Linked DNA regions of Saccharomyces cerevisiae S288C. The gene in region 4 interacts genetically with the main gene of each other region. Each region holds a gene or a part of one and is shown on either strand. Other genes may lie near its edges.

The links.
Region 1: mutations in SET3 (region 4) and SPT2 together harm fitness more than expected from each alone (negative genetic interaction), as found in Saccharomyces cerevisiae (4 studies listed by BioGRID, with this or other methods).
Region 2: mutations in SET3 (region 4) and UBP8 together harm fitness less than expected from each alone (positive genetic interaction), as found in Saccharomyces cerevisiae (5 studies listed by BioGRID, with this or other methods).
Region 3: mutations in SET3 (region 4) and SGF11 together harm fitness less than expected from each alone (positive genetic interaction), as found in Saccharomyces cerevisiae (6 studies listed by BioGRID, with this or other methods).

What each region holds. Positions count from the first base shown.
Region 1 is NC_001137.3:497,071-503,068, forward strand, and holds SPT2 (Spt2p), read right to left. Parts: upstream 3,279-5,998; coding exon 2,277-3,278; downstream 1-2,276. Other genes in the region: YER159C-A (gag protein), read right to left, coding at 1-1,054; RAD4 (Rad4p), read right to left, coding at 3,560-5,824. UniProt on the Saccharomyces cerevisiae protein: Histone chaperone that stabilizes pre-existing histone tetramers and regulates replication-independent histone exchange on chromatin.
Region 2 is NC_001145.3:715,171-718,630, forward strand, and holds UBP8 (ubiquitin-specific protease UBP8), read left to right. Parts: upstream 1-1,544; coding exon 1,545-2,960; downstream 2,961-3,460. Other genes in the region: FMP42 (Fmp42p), read right to left, coding at 1-275; FSH2 (putative serine hydrolase), read right to left, coding at 468-1,139; MRE11 (MRX complex nuclease subunit), read right to left, coding at 3,405-3,460. UniProt on the Saccharomyces cerevisiae protein: Histone deubiquitinating enzyme component of the transcription coactivator SAGA complex. SAGA acts as a general cofactor required for essentially all RNA polymerase II transcription.
Region 3 is NC_001148.4:461,150-466,761, forward strand, and holds SGF11 (SAGA histone acetyltransferase complex subunit SGF11), read left to right. Parts: upstream 1-4,812; coding exon 4,813-5,112; downstream 5,113-5,612. Other genes in the region: mannosyltransferase complex subunit MNN9, read right to left, coding at 1-817; DIG1 (Dig1p), read right to left, coding at 1,332-2,690; CAM1 (translation elongation factor EF1B gamma), read left to right, coding at 3,252-4,499; ELC1 (elongin C), read right to left, coding at 5,495-5,612. UniProt on the Saccharomyces cerevisiae protein: Component of the transcription coactivator SAGA complex. SAGA acts as a general cofactor required for essentially all RNA polymerase II transcription. At the promoters, SAGA is required for transcription pre-initiation complex (PIC) recruitment.
Region 4 is NC_001143.9:494,154-501,437, forward strand, and holds SET3 (histone-binding protein SET3), read right to left. Parts: upstream 5,681-7,284; coding exon 3,425-5,680; downstream 1-3,424. Other genes in the region: SAP190 (Sap190p), read left to right, coding at 104-3,205; GMH1 (Gmh1p), read left to right, coding at 6,129-6,950; SPO14 (phospholipase D), read right to left, coding at 7,191-7,284.

The DNA.
Region 1 (5,998 bases), on a different chromosome or scaffold from region 4:
CCTGTTGTTCTTCATAAATAGCATGGATATCTAAGAACAGTTCAGCGACTGTCATATTTAGATGTCGATGACGTGTGTAGCGTAAAAATTTATATTCGCCAGATAGACCTCTCATAATTAATTGGCATGCGACCTTGTTATTGATATGAATGCCATTATTGTTCAGTCTGTCGATAATGTTTGTGACTTTTGTTTCAAATGCATCTGCAGGTGTACTGCCATTATATTGCAAATTTGCCAGGGTCACAATGTCGTTTGCCTCTTGGGTATCAGATTGCATTTTTTCAATACTTTTGGAAAGAATTTTCATGATATCCGTATAATCAACGGATAGGATGTCTTTGACCCAGGTAGGTAGGAATTGAGAGGGAGCAAATATTTGAAAAGTGTTATACAAGAAGGTGAGTTCATCATCAGTGATCTGACGTACGGGTTTTCCGTTTACTGTCGGAATAATACCACCGAGATTCGAGTTTTGTAAAAATTTGATGTATGTTTTAACCCAATTTGGAAAATCATTAGGTGAGGTTAACATTGGTGGTGGTCTGACATATTTTTTAGTGGATGTCATATCAGAGTCCGCTGAGGATGAATCAGTAAATGTATTACCTGACTCAGGTGATGGAGTGCTCAGAGGCGTTCCAACTGATGATGGATACTGCGGAAACTGTGATTGTGGCCCAGGTGGAAAGTACATAGGCGACATTTGATAAGGTGTATACGGAATCATAGATGGGTGTCCGTAAAATGACCAACCAGATGGATTGGCTTGGTTTTGGGTCATCATGCACTGCTGTGGGTACGGCCCATTCTGTGGAGGTGGTACTGAAGCAGGTTGAGGAGAGGCATGATGGGGGTTCTCTGGAACAGCTGATGAAGCAGGTGTTGTTGTCTGTTGAGAGTTAGCCTTAGTGGAAGCCTTATCATATTCTTGAATTTTGGAAGCTGAAACGTCTAACGGATCTTGATTTGTGTGGACTTCCTTAGAAGTAACCGAAGCACAGGCGCTACCATGAGATATATGTGGGTAATTAGATAATTGTTGGGATTCCATTGTTGATAAAGGCTATAATATTAGGTATACAGAATATACTAGAAGTTCTCCTCGAGGATATAGGAATCCTCAAAATGGGATCTATATTTCTACATACTAATATTACGATTATTCCTCATTCCGTTTTATATGTTTATATTCATTGATCCTATTACATTATCAATCCTTGCGTTTCAGCTTCCTCTAACATCGATGACAGCTTCTCATAACTTATGTCATCATCTTAACACCGTATATGATAATATATTGATAATATAACTATTAGTTGATAGACGATAGTGGATTTTTATTCCAACAGTTTTGTTATAAGGTTGTTTCATATGTGTTTTATGAACGTTTAGGATGACGTATTGTCATACTGACGTATCTCATTTTGAGATACAACACAGTGGGCTAAGAATATACAACCGTTTTAGTCAATGTGTTGAAATATCATATTTTAATGCATTGCTCGAATCTCTTCCTTCGACTTACTTATATTGATTAAGGGTATGTATTTGATCCTTCCACCTGGAAAAACTGAGGACCTTACAGTGTTATTAAGTGTATGATGTATCACTGTCGTTGTAGTATTTCTCGGGAAGTTTTTCACTGGCAATTGGAGGTTGCTAGAGTTTCTTTTAACGCATACCCTAAACGCTTGTTTCTATTTTAATGACTACTTGAATCCTATCTAACTGGTGACACAATTTGTTTCATTTTTTAATATCTCACCTAATATATCCTAATAATATGAACATACCATAGCTCTTGTAAAGCTGGTCCATATTTATGTTTAGTTTCCGAATGCTTTTGTAAGGAAACGGGTTGTGGAAAAAAAAAAATACAACTACGTTGCCGCGAATCTTGTTGAAAAAGGTCTCAAATTAAGGCAAAAATGATACTGGAATTGTTAGTCTTGTATAATCGATCAACTGCAACAACCAAGTCTTTAAATTTTCAGTCCGTCTTGAAAGAATAGTGAAGGTTCATTTTTATTTTTACATAGTAAAGTTTATAGAATTATGGGCGATACACAATATAAATGTTCTAACCCAACTGATGCATATCATCACTGTACGTTTGAAAATCGGACAGGCAAACTGGATAAATGGAAAACGCAATTACAAAGGGTATGAAAATGAATGTAAGAAGTGAAACAGTGCCTCGAAACAGTTCCCAAACTCTCTACGACTTCATTAGTCATTTCACGTCCATATATCAAAACATATATCAATATTCCTTAGCGTATGCCCTTCTTACGGCGTCTCTTCTCCTCTTCATGCTTTTTTAACCAAGCTTCCTCACGTTTATCCTCTAACCTTGCCATTTTTCTTGCCATTTCCTCCTCTTCCAAGATTTCCATCTCATTTGCTTCCATATCATCATCCTCAAGCTCATCGTAATCGTATTCTGACCGCTTCTTGCCTCTATTGAACATAGCCCAAATTTCGTCACGATCATATCCGGGACCATTGCTGTGTTTCGATTTGCTGTGGTAACCTTCATCTTCATCGTCTTCTATAAAATCATCCATATCGTTATCTTCTTCATCATAGTCATCCTGGTATCTTGATTTCTGTTTTCTAGATTCTAACTTTTCTTTTAATCTCCTATTAGGTTGAGCAAATCCATTTGTGGGCAAGTTGAGCTTGACGGGCTTGGGTGAGTCTGATGATTTTATGCTATTGCCTCCAGAAGATACTCCACGCAATGTTGCGCCAGGGGATGCTTTCTTTTGTGGTCTTTTTGAACTTTTGAAACCTGGCTTGTTAAAATGTGGGCGTTCCTTAGTTACGGGTTCCGATGACTTAACTTTTGGGGGCTGTTTCTCATTATTTTCCGCTTGTTTCATTAGCTCTTCAAATGACATCTTTTTGATAGGTTCAGGTTTCTTCCTTACAACTGGCTTGAGTGGCGCATGACTTGCTCCAATAGACCTCTTAAACCTAATTCCAAGGCCACCTTCATCATCGTCATTCCTTTCTATTTTCTTTTTCTCAGATCCAGATGAGGTGCCACGTTTCCGTTTTACACCACTTTTTTTAGCCAAAGCACCATTCTTTAACAGTTCCTGCCGCCTCAGCTCCTTCAATCTTTTTACTGCAGGATCTTCGTCTCTTATGTAATTTTTGGGTAACAAGGAATACTCTTCGTCATTCTTCTTGGGTAATGGATCTTGCACTTGGGCTTTTGATGCAGTCGTTGATTTTCGTATTTGGGAAAGTTTGGAAAGAAAACTCATAACTAAAATATTTCACTTTGAATAGGACTCAAGTCCCTGTCCCTCTCATCAACTTTTATTTTCAAATTACACTAGTTATTTTATTGTATTCATATATTAATCTGTGGCACTTGTCCATGTGGGAATATCTTAGTCGAACAAGAAAAATAATCATGTTAAACGAAAAAGTTTGAAGCCAACTAAGTTCTCATTCATTACAAAGTATATACAAAATTCCTGAACATAGAATTTCTTTATTAAAAACATACTTTCCTAATTATTCAAACCGTTTCAGCCTCATTTCAGTCTGATTCCTCTGACATCTCTAGTTCTTTCATAAAATCCGAATAATCCTCCCCGACATCGTCGTCTGTAGCACTTTCCTCCGCTTTGTCAACAGAAACATAATCTAAACTATCTTCTGGCTCTGAAGGTTCACTATACGGCCTTGCTTCGTGGTTTGCTATACCTGGTAGGAACCCACCTCCCATAAAAGTCTCCGTATTATCGTGATTGTCCGCAATATTCTGTTCCTTCGTAACGTTAGGTTCTTCCTCGGCAATTTTACCATATGTGGAGTTCAGCTTGCTACGAATACGCAGTTTTAGCAGTAAAGTATTCCAACTCTCCAAAGCACCAAGCAAATGTTCCTTCCTATTATCATCCTCTTGAATAAACTCTATTCCATCAATAGCGGTTTCAATAGCTTCTCTGAGCCACTTTGCAACAACAATGCCACTTAAAACTGGCTTAACTGTACTGCCGCGTTCAAACTTAAAAGAAGTTACAGCAGGTGCAAATTCCACCCCCAAAAACCTAGCAGCTTTAATTGCCACAGGATTCTCAACCAAACAACAGTTACCAGGTATCATCGTTGGTGCAAAAACTTCGATGTTTCCAAATGTATTCTTGGTTATTTCACCGCTCGCACTGGCTAATGGAGGGATGTATAATTCTGTGTCTTCAAAGCTATATAATCTTTCATCTTCTTCTTCTGCTTCGCCCTTAGGCCTTCCAACTGTCCTCTTTATCACCTTTTTACACCTGCTACCAGTTTTTAAAATTCGGCCGTTCATGTACCATTGTCTAGCACTTTTCAAATCCGCAATATCTCTTTTTGCATAAACTTTCAAAACCTTCCCAACTTTTCCATGTACTTTTAAATATCCACACTCTTTACATCCTGGCTTTACAATTTGAGTCTGTTTGATATCTTGTTCTAAAACATAATATGGGTGGTTTTTCAAATCCTGCACCGAATCTGGTATGCCTTCACTTTCATCTCTCTGAAAAAAATATTGATCTTCGTAATCATCAATTTTGGTTCTCTTTCTATGGTGAAGTGCTGTTATCACTTTTCTGAACCATTTCTCACCAAAGTCATCTTTAGTAATTCTTCTTTTTCTTACTTTAGAGTTCATCCATTGGGCATATCTTCGAGTTACATCTCTACAGCCATACTTCCGATCGTAAGCAATCACGTACCTCAACATATTTCTTTCGCAGCACGCCACGCCTTTCGGTGCCAACTTGGAATGAAGTCTGACCTGTTCAATGGTTTTGAGATTTACTGGGTCAACAGTTATCCATTTCTTAGAGAATTTGTCCCACACTTCACACCAAAAAATCGGATACTTGACCATATCTTTGTACGCATTGTTTCCATTCAAAGAAGTGTCAATCTTCATATTGGTAAAATCTGGCGGTTGACATGACATGATAAGTCGTGCGTTAACATTACAAGCCCTGAGCATCGCAACGAAACCTTGCACTGAAATATCAGGATCTCCGTGACCTTTACTGACGGCCCTTAAAAAGTCAGATCTTTTCAACGTCTTGAATTTTCTTTTGTTATTGGCGCTCATTTCAATTTCTTTCCAGGTTCTCATATAAAGTCCCACATTATCATATTTTTTAGTGATCTTCCAGTGTTTTTGCCATAACTCCATGCATTTCTTCAACCCATCTAATAATTTCCTAGTACTCCTAAGTGGGAGTTCCTCATCTTTCTGAGGATGCAGTAGCTCAAACACTTTCTCAGGAACTAAGTTGCTCAGTTTTCTAGACAAGCGCTTGCTGTTAATCCATTCATTTCGTATAAATCCATGAACCATCAAGCAAACTAGATACAACATGTGGAAATATTTTCTCCTTTTCCGTTCTTCATTAGAACAAACGTTGCGGCTTGTCCTTCTAGCATCACTATTCCTTTTACTAGAGGGCTTAATTTCAACAGATATATCTTCTACACCGGCCACCTCATTTCCATCTGTCACGTCTTCAAATTCCTCCGAATCATAATCTTCTTCAGATGACTGGATTTCCTCTACACTATCATCCGTCGGTACCGTAACGACGCCATCATCTGAAGAATCTAAGTTTACAGTAACAACGCTTTCTCGTGGCAATTCATTCAACCCTGTTTTAAACTTCTTCTTGGCATCTGGTAGGGGCTGGTTCTTCCTTCTGACTCTTCTTCTTCTACTCAGGGGCGCTTTTTCTGCCTCTTTCTCGTTAAGAGCCTTCCTTATTAGTTCAAAATATTCCTTGGGCAGGTCTTCATTCATTTTAGCGGAAAAATAGTGTCGTTATGTCTCTGCTTGTCGTCCTGTTTGAACTGCATAAAATTTGCATATATTGTGCATGCATTAAAGGTACTTAACCGCATTTTTCCATTTTCCGCCGCACTATATAGATGGTAGAAAAGCAAGAGGAGAACCTTACATAGTTAATCAAGATAT
Region 2 (3,460 bases), on a different chromosome or scaffold from region 4:
ACACGAGGTCCATACATATCCAAAATCTTACCGACAGGAAGGGCCATGATGTTTGTTACAGTAGCACTGAGAGCAAATATAAAATTTAATTTCAGATCCTGTGCAGTACATAATAATCTATCACCATCCTTAGGATCACACAATTCATGGTATACACCTTCTGAAATTAAAATAGGTTTCAAAGCAGCAAATCCAAAGATAATACCAGCTGAAAAAAGACACCAGATACAAGCACAGGCAACCTGTGCGTATCTCAACGTTCTTGTACTGGTCATTACAGTCTTTACTGCCCTAATACTGGCCTAACGAGGAATAAAATCATTTATAGATGCCATTGTTATCGTTATCATAATGAAGCATCGTATCGGTAGTTAAGTTAATTTGACGTATTATTACCCGGAGGATTTAATCATGTATAAATATGTATGTGAAGATTATGTGAAGATTACGTGCTATATATACTTGCCTCAGGTCAACTGCTGGAGCCATTGAGCCACTTTTCTCACAAACCCTCTTGAGTTCGGCACAAAGTGGCCCCCAGAGTGCATTAGTAAAGTGCGAGAGTCTTCCGTACAAGAGTTATATAGGCCTTGCACTTTGGCCGGCTCTGTGATAGTGTCAAGTTCTCCTTGAACATGTAGAGATGGGACCGATATTGGATGCAGGTCGTACTGTTCTTGATACTGTTGTGGTTGGAACCTGAAACCACTGACCGCCATGAAAAATTCTAGCGGCGGCTGTTCTTCTGTTGTAAGGCCCAACAAACCATTGAAATCCGTTGCTAGGTATCCAGCTACACCGGCTCCTTGACTAAATCCTACAATACCTGCAAATGGACCATTTTCAAGGACATAATTGTGTAAATAGTCGATTGTCGTCTGCGGTATGAAATAGCCACCGGTGGAAGGGTCATTCTCTAGCCACGCAAGCACACCGGTATTCTCACCATCCCCAGGTGCATCAGCAATTACCTCACCCAAGAAATCAGGAACATCAGCTGGGGGAAATTCATTGGGTGCTGTTGGATAGTAGAGTTTATATCCTAACTTTTCCATTTCGGCGCGAAACCCCTTTGTCTTAGAGGCAAAGTAGTCACCTGACTGCGCAAGCCCATGTAACATCAATACATTCTTCGTCATGGTTACAGCTATTAAATCTTATAGTCTTGTAGTATTGCACATTCTTTCTTCACTTATACCTTTTTTTTCTTCTCTATTCTTCCTTTTTTTGCTTTTCTTTGAATTTTTCAAGTGAAAAAAAATCCTCGATTATAGTGTGTAAAAAGCATCAATAATTTATATTGTATATGGGCTAGAAAGCTGTCGTAATAGCAAAGGGATTATATTAGTGGACCTGATTAATTCTAAAAAGATATTTTACGGATAATAATAAAGGTTTTCTTTTGAGACCAGTTAGTCCATTTCTTTCAACTGGCTGTCATAATTTTGAATACTATTTATTGATCGGATCAAAAGGGAAAACTACAGCTTCGGTCCTCGTCGTCCTACTTGAAACCCTGCTTTTTTTATTTGTTATTAATAATTATGAGCATTTGTCCACATATACAGCAAGTATTTCAGAATGAAAAGTCTAAAGATGGGGTTCTAAAAACGTGCAATGCTGCCAGGTATATATTAAATCATTCCGTACCCAAGGAAAAATTCTTAAACACCATGAAATGTGGTACATGCCACGAAATAAACTCTGGTGCAACTTTCATGTGTCTACAATGTGGATTTTGTGGATGTTGGAACCATTCGCATTTTCTCTCTCACAGTAAACAGATTGGTCACATATTTGGTATCAACTCAAATAATGGCCTTTTATTTTGCTTCAAATGTGAGGACTATATAGGGAATATCGATCTGATTAACGATGCTATCCTAGCGAAGTATTGGGACGACGTGTGCACAAAGACCATGGTTCCTAGCATGGAAAGAAGAGATGGGCTTTCTGGCCTGATCAACATGGGATCCACTTGTTTCATGAGTAGTATTCTCCAATGTCTAATCCATAACCCTTACTTTATTAGGCACTCAATGAGTCAAATTCATTCTAATAATTGTAAAGTGCGTTCTCCAGATAAATGTTTTTCATGTGCACTCGATAAAATTGTTCATGAACTTTATGGAGCGCTGAATACAAAGCAAGCTTCTTCGTCATCTACATCTACTAATCGGCAAACCGGATTCATATATCTTTTAACTTGTGCCTGGAAAATCAATCAAAATCTAGCAGGGTATTCACAACAAGATGCTCATGAATTTTGGCAGTTTATAATTAACCAAATCCACCAAAGCTATGTTCTTGATTTGCCAAATGCCAAGGAAGTCAGCAGAGCAAATAATAAGCAGTGTGAATGCATAGTGCATACTGTGTTTGAGGGCTCCTTGGAAAGTTCTATTGTGTGTCCAGGCTGTCAAAATAATTCAAAGACAACCATTGATCCATTCTTGGATCTTTCTCTGGATATCAAGGATAAGAAAAAACTTTATGAATGTCTTGACAGTTTCCATAAAAAAGAACAGTTGAAGGATTTCAACTATCATTGTGGGGAGTGTAACAGCACTCAAGATGCAATAAAGCAACTAGGCATACACAAATTACCATCGGTTTTGGTTTTGCAATTGAAAAGATTCGAACACCTACTTAATGGAAGTAACAGAAAACTAGACGATTTTATTGAATTTCCAACTTATTTAAATATGAAAAATTACTGTTCAACGAAGGAAAAAGATAAGCATTCTGAAAATGGCAAGGTTCCAGACATTATTTACGAATTAATCGGTATTGTTTCCCACAAGGGGACGGTTAATGAGGGACATTATATTGCATTTTGTAAAATTTCTGGAGGGCAATGGTTTAAATTCAATGATTCCATGGTCTCCTCTATATCTCAAGAAGAGGTTTTAAAGGAACAGGCATATTTATTATTCTACACCATTCGTCAAGTAAATTGATTCAGCAAATAGCATTCAACAATAATAATAAAACAAAAAAGAAGAAAAAGCTATGCATATTCCTATCACAGTTAACGCTTGCTTCCGTTCTTTTTTCTATATCATCGTTTCCATCATGTTTTTCTTTAAATTGAATACTTTCCTATGCTCTTAATGAGTTGCGATTGTGCATATACTGTATTTCAAAATCCTTTGTATCTAACTAAGGAAGAAAATTACTATGACGTTTATTCAGGATTTTTTTTTTTCATTCCTTGCTATACGAACAAAAGAGCAAAGGCTGGAAAACTAAGTGAGTTTATATATAGTAATAATTAAAGAACATATCATTATCATGAATTTAGAATGCAAATTTGCTCCTCTCAAAATGGCATACCTTGTTGTTCGCGAAGGCAAGCCCTTGGTTATAAATAGGATATAATATAATATAGGGATCAAGTACAACTATTTTCTTTTCTTAGCAAGGAGACTTCCAAGAATATCCGTCTTTGGCGTCCTTG
Region 3 (5,612 bases), on a different chromosome or scaffold from region 4:
GCTTCTTCTCTTCATCGTAAAATCTTTGATAAATGTTTGCAGCTAAGATAGCTTTGTTGTGTTTGGTCATGTCTTGAATTAAAGATGGTGGTGTCTCTATAATATCGGCATCTAGCCACAGCACCCAAGAAGTGTGAGGTCCTATGGTGGAGAATAGTAATTCATTGCGCGCCAAAGCCATTGCTGCACGTCTTTCCTTTTGAACATCTAAAGCGTGTCTTTCCTTCTCCATCAACTTATCAAAACTCTGGGAATTCTGTCGCAAAATAGTAATTTTACTAAATCTTTGAGTTTTCTTGTCCGTTTGAACCTTTTTAATAGCATTCTCCAATTTCTTTAAGGCCAAGTCACCAGTGGCTGTTCTTGGTGTAATGAACCCCAATTCAATCAATTCCCGAGGGTAATTTAGCTGCAGCAAATTGTCCCAGTATTGTTGATGAAATGTTTGCATTGGAGTCAATATCAAAATATGCTCCTTATTGACAGCTGCTTCTGACGTAGAGTGCAATTTGTTCAAATCATAATGTGCAATATGACCTTCTGGGATAATATCTTCCACGTGATCGTTGAACAACCAGCCGCTTTTTTTCTTATAAGAGTACTTTGGCATTTTGTATTTCTTGGTGAAGGGAAAATAAAATGTGTTTTCCTTTTCGTGTGCCCATTTGTGTTGGGAAATGGACTGGCCATTAAGTCCCAACAGAGATTGATCTCTCTGGAAAAAAATTATATATATTAGAAATATGGCCAAAACAGGTAGAAAAATGTTAACCCACGGGTTCTTTCTTAGGCGGTACGATACAAGAGAAAGTGACATTGTTTCCTAACTTTTTATTCTAGCTCTTTTAAATTCTTCTGTTTGAAAAATACTAAAATTGATGCTATTCTCTTCTTACTTTCACAAAGTGCGGAAGGAAAAATAGGTTCAGAAATAACGGGTCCCAAGAGCGGCTAACAGAAAATAATAAAAGCTTTTCTACCAATTGAGAATCCGCTTGGTTGACGACTTTTCCTCCTTTATTATTCTTGATTTGGTGTTCTGTTTTACTTATATCAAAATACTTCAACGCCAAATCCGCTACAACGATGGAAAGGAAAAAAAAAAAAAAAAAAAAAAGACAAACCAATGCTGTCGTGTCTAGTGACGATAAAGGCTGTAACTATTAATAAGGTGAATACTCACCCTCATCTTTTAGTTTATCAAACTTATATAAAAATTGTGTATGTACTGAATTGTCCTTGGTGTGCGAGTGAGAGTGTGTGTGTGAGTGCGTGTGTGAGTAGGTGAGTGTATGCGAGTGTATGTAAGTTTATAAGTGCCTGTGTGGCTACTATTTTCCGGTTCTGTGATGTGATGATGATTTTTTTGTCAGCTCCTTTGATTCATTCCATACTTTATTACATATGCTCATAAACATTTTCTTGTCTACATTGCTAGAGCTCAGGGGGAACTCGAAGGCAAAAATATGCGATGAGAGTCGGATTTCGCCTTGAAGAAGACTAGGTGATTGCTGCTGCGGCTGCGAGGTCCGCTGGAACGTAGTAAAAGTGGGAGTGGGGACCGCTCCGTCCTCGATGGCCAAGTCCGTACCCTCTTCTTCGTCTTTATTGGGTTCTGCCTCATGCCATGAACTCCTGTCCCGGTTTGTGCTTGTGCTTGTACTTGTGCTTGTGCTTGCGCTTCTGGCTTTCGTGTTGGCCGAGAGTAATGCATCCCGTTCAAAGTGGTATTCTTCAGCAGGTATCATATCTGCTGGGCGTAGATCCGCGCGCTGTTGCGTAGGACCGGCATTCGCACTTGATCCTACGCTAGAATTTCTTGAGCCTTCCTCGGATCGTCTGGTTTTCCCAGTGGAAGCGGTGCCACTCAAAGGCGAATCATATGAGTCGTTAACCCTCTTGTTTCTGTAATTGCTAGCACTATACTCATTTTCTTCGTAGGGCCTAGCGTTGCCACCTTGCATAGCATAAGGAATGGAGGTCCGCGGTCCCATTGGATATGGATACGACACGTAGGGTGTCATTATGGGCTTGTTCAGCATGTGAGGTGGAGGGATACCGTACGGATTATAATATGGTGACATTATGTAGCGATTCATGGGCATGTAAGGGTTCATGGCGCTCATGATGCCCGCCGAGGGCATGTGTGGTTTCCCATAACTATTGCTGCTATTATTCACTTGTATAGATTGTCTAGAACTGGCCTTTCCCAAGTATTGGACACGGGGCTGGAACTTGGAATGCTGAGTAACTTGTGCGGGCGCGCTTTTCACGTTTTGATTAGCAACAGGAGGAAAATGTGCAGAGTTAGACGAAGCCAAGTTGCCGTCCTTAATATTACCACCGTGTGTATTAGTGTTGCTATCCGATAAATTCAAAGGCGCCGGGACTCTGCCCCTCTTCAATGATTTCTTCGGATTCTTCAATGGTTGGGCTTTCCTCTTCTTCGCAGTGGCTGTCTCAGAATCCTCATGATCTGCTTCCTTGTCACCAGAGTCATCCTCCTCAGGGACATGCTCTAGCTCCGACTCCTGACCAACGCTGTTTCCGCCTGGCGAATTCTTAATGTTGCTATCGCTGCTGCCCTTAGCATTTGCTACACTGATTTCTGTATCACCAATTGGATCTTGTGTTGATTTAGCAATGGATGTATCCTCGGCAGTCGTTCTCAAACGGGCTGATACGGCCATTCTCACTTTCTATTTTCTTCTTTGAGAAACAATACCAAAATTTGTTACTGATTTGATTCTTTTTAAGTGCGTTTCTTCTGTATAAGCTAAAAAAACGCAAAGCACAAAGCGGAAAAACTAAACCTAATAAACTTCCCCCAGCGAGAAACAGATGTAAAGAACAACCGTATCAAGTGGCGAAGCAGCTGCTTATAAGTAAAGCCCAAGGCCCACCAACGCATACATGCAAGGCCTGTGCAAGCCGACTGCTGCTTGTTTCATCTTCCGCTCGCGGTGACCCACTCGGGGAATTTCTCACGCTTGCTGCTGCAGGTCGTTGGGCGTTGATTCCTGTTTTTTTCTTTCGTTTTTTCAATCCGCGGGAGTGAGACATGATTAGTGTAGTCCTTGTAGAGTTCCTTATTTATTTTTTTATTAGTTTTCTTGTTTTCGTTTATCAGCAGGGTTTGGTTGTGTTGCTTGGCAGCCCGCAAATTGGTCTTCCCTCCTTGTTATTGTATTTTCTGTTATTAGAGCATACAGAACATAGAAACTCAAGATCAGATACAGTTTTTGCACGCCATGTCTCAAGGTACTTTATATGCTAACTTCAGAATTAGAACTTGGGTCCCAAGAGGTCTTGTCAAGGCTTTGAAGCTGGACGTTAAGGTTGTTACGCCAGATGCCGCCGCTGAACAGTTCGCAAGGGACTTTCCCTTGAAGAAGGTTCCGGCTTTCGTGGGTCCAAAGGGTTACAAGCTAACCGAGGCAATGGCGATTAACTATTATTTAGTAAAGCTTTCACAGGACGACAAGATGAAGACTCAACTTTTAGGTGCCGACGATGACTTAAATGCCCAAGCGCAAATCATCAGATGGCAATCTTTGGCCAACAGTGATCTGTGCATCCAGATTGCCAACACCATCGTTCCCTTGAAGGGCGGCGCCCCCTACAACAAGAAGAGCGTTGATTCTGCGATGGACGCTGTTGACAAGATCGTCGACATCTTCGAGAACAGATTGAAAAACTACACCTATTTGGCTACGGAAAACATCTCCTTGGCCGACTTGGTGGCTGCCTCGATTTTCACCAGATACTTTGAAAGCCTGTTCGGTACTGAATGGAGAGCTCAACATCCAGCCATCGTGAGATGGTTCAACACCGTTAGAGCCTCACCCTTCTTGAAGGATGAATACAAGGATTTCAAGTTCGCTGACAAGCCATTGAGTCCCCCTCAAAAGAAGAAGGAAAAGAAGGCCCCAGCCGCCGCTCCCGCCGCTTCGAAGAAGAAGGAGGAAGCCAAGCCAGCTGCTACCGAAACTGAAACTTCTTCCAAGAAACCAAAGCACCCATTAGAATTATTGGGCAAGTCAACTTTCGTTTTGGATGACTGGAAGAGAAAGTACTCCAATGAAGACACCAGACCAGTTGCTTTACCTTGGTTTTGGGAGCACTACAACCCAGAAGAGTATTCCCTGTGGAAAGTCACCTACAAGTACAACGATGAATTGACTTTGACTTTCATGTCCAACAACTTGGTCGGTGGTTTCTTCAACAGATTGTCCGCCTCTACCAAGTACATGTTCGGTTGTCTGGTAGTCTACGGTGAAAACAACAACAACGGTATTGTTGGTGCAGTTATGGTTAGGGGCCAAGATTACGTTCCAGCTTTCGATGTCGCACCAGATTGGGAATCTTACGACTATGCAAAGTTGGATCCAACTAACGACGACGACAAAGAATTCATCAATAACATGTGGGCCTGGGATAAGCCAGTTTCCGTCAATGGCGAACCAAAGGAAATTGTTGACGGTAAGGTCTTAAAATAATCTCTTCGTACTATCCTTCATGTCGCCTTTTATTATAAAGTATGCTAGGTAGTTTTATCTATATCTTATTTATGACGCAATATAGGGTAACAGAGTTTTTCTGCTCTGAAACTTCCGCAGAAAAAAAATCAAGTTTTCCTTTTCGTATCTTGGATTATTGTTATATAATAGATGCATGTATTATATGTATAGCAGTGATTTGCTTATTTTCTTGATTCTGAGGAATCGAAGAAGTAACTTAGCGTTTCTTCCGTTGAGCAGAGCAGTATAATAATCCTTCAAATTCTTTAGGTTACGGGGTTTTCCTGTTGCGATGACCGAAGAAACTATTACTATAGATTCTATTTCAAATGGGATACTGAATAACCTGTTAACCACATTGATCCAGGACATTGTAGCTCGGGAAACCACTCAACAACAATTGCTGAAGACAAGATATCCGGATCTTCGCAGTTATTATTTCGACCCGAACGGATCTCTCGATATTAATGGACTACAGAAGCAACAAGAGTCCTCTCAGTATATTCACTGTGAGAATTGTGGCAGGGATGTGTCCGCAAACAGACTAGCAGCTCATTTACAGAGATGTTTGAGTAGGGGTGCTAGACGTTGACACTAGGTGGTGGTTTATGGGTAATTGAAAAGGCACAGACAGATTTTAGCCCATTTCTTGTGGGCATAGGTTCATAAAAAAAGCAAGATTCTTACATTTTATGCGGCATATCTGCACATAGAAGTTCATGTAGTTATGTGGTAACATCTCAAAGAGAGAAGGCGAAAACTGTTTTAGCTATTAACTACATGTTTTTATAATAGCACCTCCCATATATGATGCCAAATGATACCTTGCATTCCGTTATGTGGAAGGGTTACACATAAGTACGCTATAACAATGCATTCAATTTTCTACATATCAGAGTAATATGCTGCAACATCACACCCATATAATATAATTTTTTGAAAGAGTTCCTAACTCTTTTTTGTTTTTCCTGTACCTATATACTCAAATAGTCCGCCGCAAGTAGCAGCTCTAACGACATTTCTGTCGGTATTTCAAACTCTGGAATCTCATCATCGTCCTCGCTAACGCCGCTGTACTTCAAATTATAATTT
Region 4 (7,284 bases):
GTTTTGTTTGTTCATTTACTTTAGCGTTTAGTTGATAAGTCCTGTTATCCTCTTCTTTTATTTCATTTCTTCATTTACTTAACTGCGAGAAGATTATAATAGCATGTCAGGTTCTTTCTGGAAGTTTGGTCAGGATTACTCGATAGAGTCACCGGTTTCTAAGATTCTAAATAGTGCCTTTATTAAAATCAATAAGGACCAAGATGACGACGTACCTACCGGCACATGTGAAGAAAATATTGCTGATGACGAAGATAACTCTTCACATGACTACGCTGCTTCTGAAGATAATGTAGTTAACGAGAACGAAGAGAAGGAAGAAGAAAATACTCTGCCCACTACAGAATCGGAATATGAAAATTATAGACCTAATTTGGACGTCTTAGACGATTTGCTGGATGATGACGAACTGTATACGGAATTAATGTGTTCAAATTTCAAGCTACTAATATTCTTGAAGTATCCTGATGTTTTATCAAAATTGATAGAATATGTTACCAACGAGAAGATTCTCGACGAAGAAACAGATAGCGCTAAAAAGCCAGAGATTATTGAAGGTGTAAACGATCATCCTATTTTGATAGAAAGAGACAGAAAGGATAAAAAGGAGGACGCTGAAGAAGGAGGCGACTCAGAAGAAACTACAAATGATAGCGATCATGACTCTGGGGACGAAAGAAGTGTTGATTCTGAAGAGACAAGCATTACTTTGCCACCGGAATCTGAGGAACAAGTGGAGACTAGAAGGGCAAGGATAGCTGCTGAAATTTTATCGGCTGATGTATGGCCTATATCCGCAGCAATAATGCAAAATAAGGATCTTCTTGGTAGATTGTGGTCGATACTAGATCACCCAGCTCCCTTACCGATACCAGCTTCCACCTACTTCATGAAAATAAATGAAAGACTTCTCGATATGGATATAACGGGGATGTTAGAGTTTATATTAAGCCGAGACAGCTTGGTTGCAAGGTTCTTGACACATGTTGACAATCCGTCTTTGATGGACTTCCTTTTGAAAGTTATCTCGACGGATAAACCTGACTCTCCCACGGGTGTCATAAAGATACTAAAATCACAGGAATTAATACCTAAACTTTTAGATCATCTTAATCCAGAATACGGTATTTCCACTCAGTCTGCGGCAGGCGATTTTATTAAGGCATTCGTCACGTTAAGCACTAACTCAAGCAATGAACTTGCTTCGGGAATAGGTCCTAATGAATTGACAAGGCAATTAGTATCAGAAGAAATGATAGAAAAGTTGATTAAGATAATGCTAAAGGGCGGTACATCCTTAAGTAATGGTGTTGGAATTATCATAGAGTTGATCAGGAAGAATAACTCAGATTATGATTTCATCCAACTAGTCTACACTACCCTAGAAAGTCACCCTCCCACTGATCGAGATCCAATTCACTTGATACATTTAGTCAAACTTTTTGCTAAGCATATGCCTGATTTTGCTGATATGCTGGATAAAACCAAGTTGCCACTAATGGAAATGCCATTCGGTAATATTGAACCTCTGGGATTTGAGAGGTTTAAAATCTGTGAACTTATTGCAGAACTATTGCACTGTTCTAATATGACGCTGCTAAATGAGCCCAATGGTGAGATGATTGCCCAAGAACGTGATATAGAAAGGGCCAAAGAATTAGAAACTTCAACCGAAAAGGAAAATATAACAGCTATTGTGGACAATAAATCATCATATTATGATAAGGATTGCGTAGAGAAGGATATCACAGAAAATTTAGGCGCTCTTCAAATAAATAATCAAGGAAGTGAAGAAGATGAATTAAATGATACTGGGGTATCAAGTGTAAAACTAGATGTGAAATCAGACGCAAAGGTAGTTGAGGGGCTAGAAAATGATGCTTCTGGAGTAGAGTTGTATGATGAAACCTTGTCTGACACAGAATCCGTGAGAGAATGCCTAAGGGAAAAACCGCTAGTTGGAGACAGGCTGAAGATTGCTCTAGAAGACACTAAGATACTGATTAGTATCCTTGATATGTTCACTGAGTTCCCTTGGAATAATTTTTTGCATAATGTAATTTTTGATATTGCCCAGCAAATATTCAATGGTCCCCTCAAAACTGGTTATAATAGGTTCCTCTTGAAAGATTATTTGGTTGATGCATACCTAACTAAAAAGATAGTAGATGCGGATAAGGCATGTCAAGACTATGAAAAAAAGACCGGTTTACGTTATGGTTATATGGGTCATTTGACATTAGTTGCCGAAGAAATATCGAAGTTCAAAGAGTATATTGATGAAATGAAGCTAACTTTTTGCAATACCGCTGTTTCAGATCGACTTGAGGAACCATTTTGGAAAGAATATAGTGAAACGATCTTGGCTGATACAAGAGAGAAGTATAACACCGTTTTGGGAGATTTTGGCAATGACCAAGAAAGCGATGACGATGTTATTAGGAATTCTGATTCTGAGGATATAATTGGTGATACAGAGGGCAACGAAAACTACGGAAATGGAGAAAACGATGAACTTCTTAGTAACGGGCATGATTCTGGGAACATGGATTTATATTATAACTTCAATAATAACGAGAATGAAGAAAATGAAGAAGATTACGCAGAGTATAGTGATGTGGATAATAAAAATTACTATAATAACGTCGAGACTAACGACGATGATTATGATAGTGATGATGGTAAATCCAAAAGTGCCGAATCAGAGTTTACCGATAAAATATCTGAACATAGGGATGGCAATAGTCTCTATAATGAGGACAATGATGAAAACGGGAGTGACAAATGGACATCGGGTACTTCATTGTTCCCTCCAGACCATTTTCCTAGTAGGTCACAACCTTCAGATCCTAAACTGCAAGACCAGAATATTTTTCACCATCAGTTTGACTTTGAAGGTGTTGGCGATGACGATGACTATATGGATCCTAATGATGATGGCCAGTCATATGCCAGACCTGGTAATCCATTGTATACTACCCCGAAAACACCACCAAGACCGAAGACTATTCTTTTCAATTCTTTATCCGCATTGGATAATAATGGCGAAGACGAAGAAGTGGCACTAGGCACCAGTGTTGATGATCGAATGGATAACGAGATATCAAGCGATGAAGAAGACTCCGAAGATGAAGATGAAGAGAATGATATGGGCAATGAGGAGGGCTACTCATTATATAGGTCAAGAAGTAAAGAAGCTTTCTGAACTAAAACATTCACATTGTCACATTTTCACCCTTTATTCATCAATTTTTTATTGCTCCACTTTTTTCGCATATAGGTCATTTATAATTCATCAAATATATACTTTTTTAATTGAGGCTTGTAATTTAATATTAACCGAATATAATCTTATAAAGAATAATGAATATTCACTTTTGAATATACTTAAGTTTATATAGGTGTAAGAAGGAAATGTCCATGTTTATTTCAGTAGTTTTTTTCTGTAATCCGCAAAGCTTAATTTCTTTTTCGAATGCAGTTGTGAGGACGAAAAATCTGATAAGTGCATTATACTTTCTGGAGTGGATTCTCGCCTTGAATTAACCGAAGCTTCTGTCATGATTTCTTTTGTTTTTGCTTGACTGTGTTGTGCTTCCTTTGACAGTTCTTTATTGAAATTTGAAAGAGAAGGGGTTCTACTTAATTTATGTTCATTCTTTGATTGACTCTCTTCGACATCGTTTGCAGTTTGCCTTGACGTCTTGTTTATTGGTAAAAGAACTGGAATTGGTAATTCTTCAATATTGGTAATGTGTGATTCGTCATAATCTGTGCTCTTCGTAATTATTAAAGGTTTTTCTGAAGTTTCATTTTTTTTGGGAACAGAAATATTAGAAGAATGTTGTGCAAATAAGGCGAATTTGAAGGGTTTTGCAATATCATCAGGATTATTTGTACTATCAATAGTATTCTTTTGAGGAATTTTTGGACCATTATTTCGATTAAGGAATTTTTGTCGATAAAAATTATTCAAAAGTATTGGAGCTCTTTCTATAGTATTTTGAGCCTTTTCTTCTAGCCTATGCAAAATTGGTGGCTCACGTCTCTTTTTGCAATTATATTGGTTGAGAATTTCATTTAATTTATATCTGTTGTTCATTTTTCCTCTGGATTTCACAGATTTATAAAGACTTTGCGCGTATCTCTTCACTTTCAATAAATAACAATCTTTAGAATTATTTCCACAGCCGCATTCGCCGTTACTCAAAATTGTTTCTACCGAATTTATCAGCCCATACCTTTCAAGGTCATCTAAAGAGTCTATTGTCATGCCCTTTATTAATTTTAATATAGGATGTTTTGAATCCCACTGCCATTTGATGTATAACTCCTCATCCTCTGAAATATCTCTCAAAGCTCTTAAAACAAATTTTATTCTACTTGATTTTCTTCCACTGCTTTTGTCATTCCTATTGTCTGTATCTTGCAGTTTTATAGTTACTAATTCAACATTCGGCTGGCAACTTCTTCTCAAATACCTAGTTGAATTGCCTGATAAGCGTGCATCTATATATATCGGCCAATGGGAATGGAAAATGACCCTTCTTTTAGCTGTACCCCATATCCTGTAATGGTTTCGTGGGTCAGTGAGATAATTTTTATAGAAGTCCAATTCGCCTAAAATTTCTTGAATGAAATCACCTTTTATGCAGTCCTTTTTGAGATAAACTCCTAATTTCGTGAAGCCTGGGTAAGTCCTGGAATATGCAATGTCAGCATACGGTTTGACTTCAATTGACACAGATTTAAAGGTCTTATGAGGATATTGTATGACCCAATTATCATCCATATGTTTATTTAAGAACGGTTCGATCAGATCACTTTTAAACACATTGTCTTTCAAGGGCAAGTATATTGCACCATATGCGTCTTTTGCACTCAGGAAATGCTCTTTTTTCTTGGGCATAGAAGTCAATCCATCGGAAGAATTGACAGAAGCGCTTTCGTTTTTGGAGTCTATACTATTATTTGATGGGTTTCTTTTCCTTCTTTTGTCCCTGTGGTTAGTATTGTCCTGATCCGTTGAAAAGCTATCGCCAACGTCACTAATAGTTGTACTCGATGCTCTGTCCCGACCGTTATTCTTATTACTAGCACTATTGTTTGATGAAGAAGGTTCTACTGTTTTTACGTTTATGCGTTCCTGCTGTATTTTCCTAGCCAAGTTAATGTCTACCTCTCTTGGATCACATGAGTTGCAAAGGTAATCATCAGGTGCCATCCCAATATCTTTGATGCCATAGCAAATAGCATGCTGCCATCTGTTGCAGTGGTCACATTGGATAGTGAATCCATCATCATCATTTAAATCACATATACATGTAATTATACCCGCGTCAGGATCGACTATATACGAATCAGGTACCGGCCATTGAGGTTGCTTTTGAGGTTGATTTTCGGTCTCTTCTTTTGCTGCCGTGGATGTTGCTGCTTCTGCCGCCGATTGCTCAGTAGCTTTCTTTAAAGGTAAAGAAACTGTGGATGCTGTAGCCAGTGCTGCTGCTGCCATTTCTATTGCTCCTTTTTTTTCTCTCTCATGAGACTCATCATGCTCAATAGTATCTGTTTTAGAGCCTATTTTTGAAGCTTCTTCAGCTCTTTTTTTCCCTTTTGAAAACAATAACAATGTGGATGCATCATCTAGGAGCGACTGCTCTTTGGAATTAGGTACTGACATGATTCAGTTCTCGTATTTTGTGAAGTACGATCTAAAACTGTTGTATATACGCTTTAAATCATGTTTACTAGAAAGGTCCTTTATTACTACTTTCTGTATATAGCATGTCGTTGATAATGATATGCATCTATCATGACATAGTAAGATGAATGAGTTGGTTGAACAATTTCCAGGGAAACAAAGGACTAGTTTCATGTCTTTAATGTTTTTTTACGAATAATATACCATGCTATAAAAGTATTATAATAAAAGGTATCGACTACCTGTAATCTAGAATGATAATTTCATACAACGATCACTTCCAACGGTTAAATAATTACCAATAGACCTTACTAGAATATTAAACTTAACAGGTTTAAATTTTGTTGAAATAACTGCAAAAAGCCAGAAAGAAACAGATTTGCACTATAATTTTTCGATTGCCACTACTTAGTCAACGGATTTATCAATGTCATATTTGCCGACTTATTCCAACGACTTGCCAGCAGGCCCGCAAGGCCAGAGGAGGCGTAATAATGGTAATGAAAACGATGCAAGACAAGGCTACGGTCAGCAATCTGTGCCGATGGTAATCAGGAGGCTTTTCAAAACGCCAAAGAATTTAGATCTCGAGACAGCCAGCTGGGAAATGTTCCATTTGATTTTCCATCCAAGAAAAGCTTATAGATCAATATATTATCAGCGACAGACGAAAAATCAGTGGGCGAGAGATGATCCTTCCTTTTTCATCTTCCAAATAGCCTTAATTTCACTCAGTTCTATTATTTGGTCGATTTATAATTCAGGTTTCAACAACGACAGTGATATGGGGGCCTTGAGCATTATAGGTCATTTTTTCAAAAGTTTGGTAATGATGGTGATTTTAGATTTTTTCATATTTGGATTTATTATGGCAACTATTTTTTACCTTTTGTTGAATAGGTCACATTTTAAATTCAAATCGAGCCAAAATAGTGTGGTAGAGTGGGCTTATTGTTTCGACGTTCATTGTAATTCATTTTTAATCATCCTACTGTGCCTATACTTCATTCAGTTTTTACTACTGCCCATAATTAATTTACAAAACTGGATTTCCTTACTCATTGGTAATTCGTTATATTGTTTTGCTATTGGCCATTACTTTATTTTAACCTTTTATGGATACAACCAGTTGCCATTCTTGAAAAATTTGAACTTTATACTTTTACCAACATTAGGATTATCGATAATCTATTTAATCAGTTTATTTGGCATCGACTTATCCAAGAAATTAAGCTTTTACAATTATTAAGCAATTGAACACGGAAATAGAAAAAATTTGGTTCTTTAAGATAAAGCACATAAATTACATAATGATATTATTATTATATATATTTGAAGTATAAAAATGCAATGAGTAATAAGAGCAATAATGACACTATGGACCAAAAGAATGCATAATGAAAACTGTTTATGTATCAGCGTCGAATGCTTATAACAGATAAAAGGAAAATACAGGTAATGGTGTGTTCCTGGTCGTTTTTATATTCCCTTAATTGTAGATTTCCATTGGAGAAAGTCTATCCGAGTTAAAAATCCAATTTCTACTCTCAACTTCTTTAGCTAACCATTCGGTTGGGAAAATG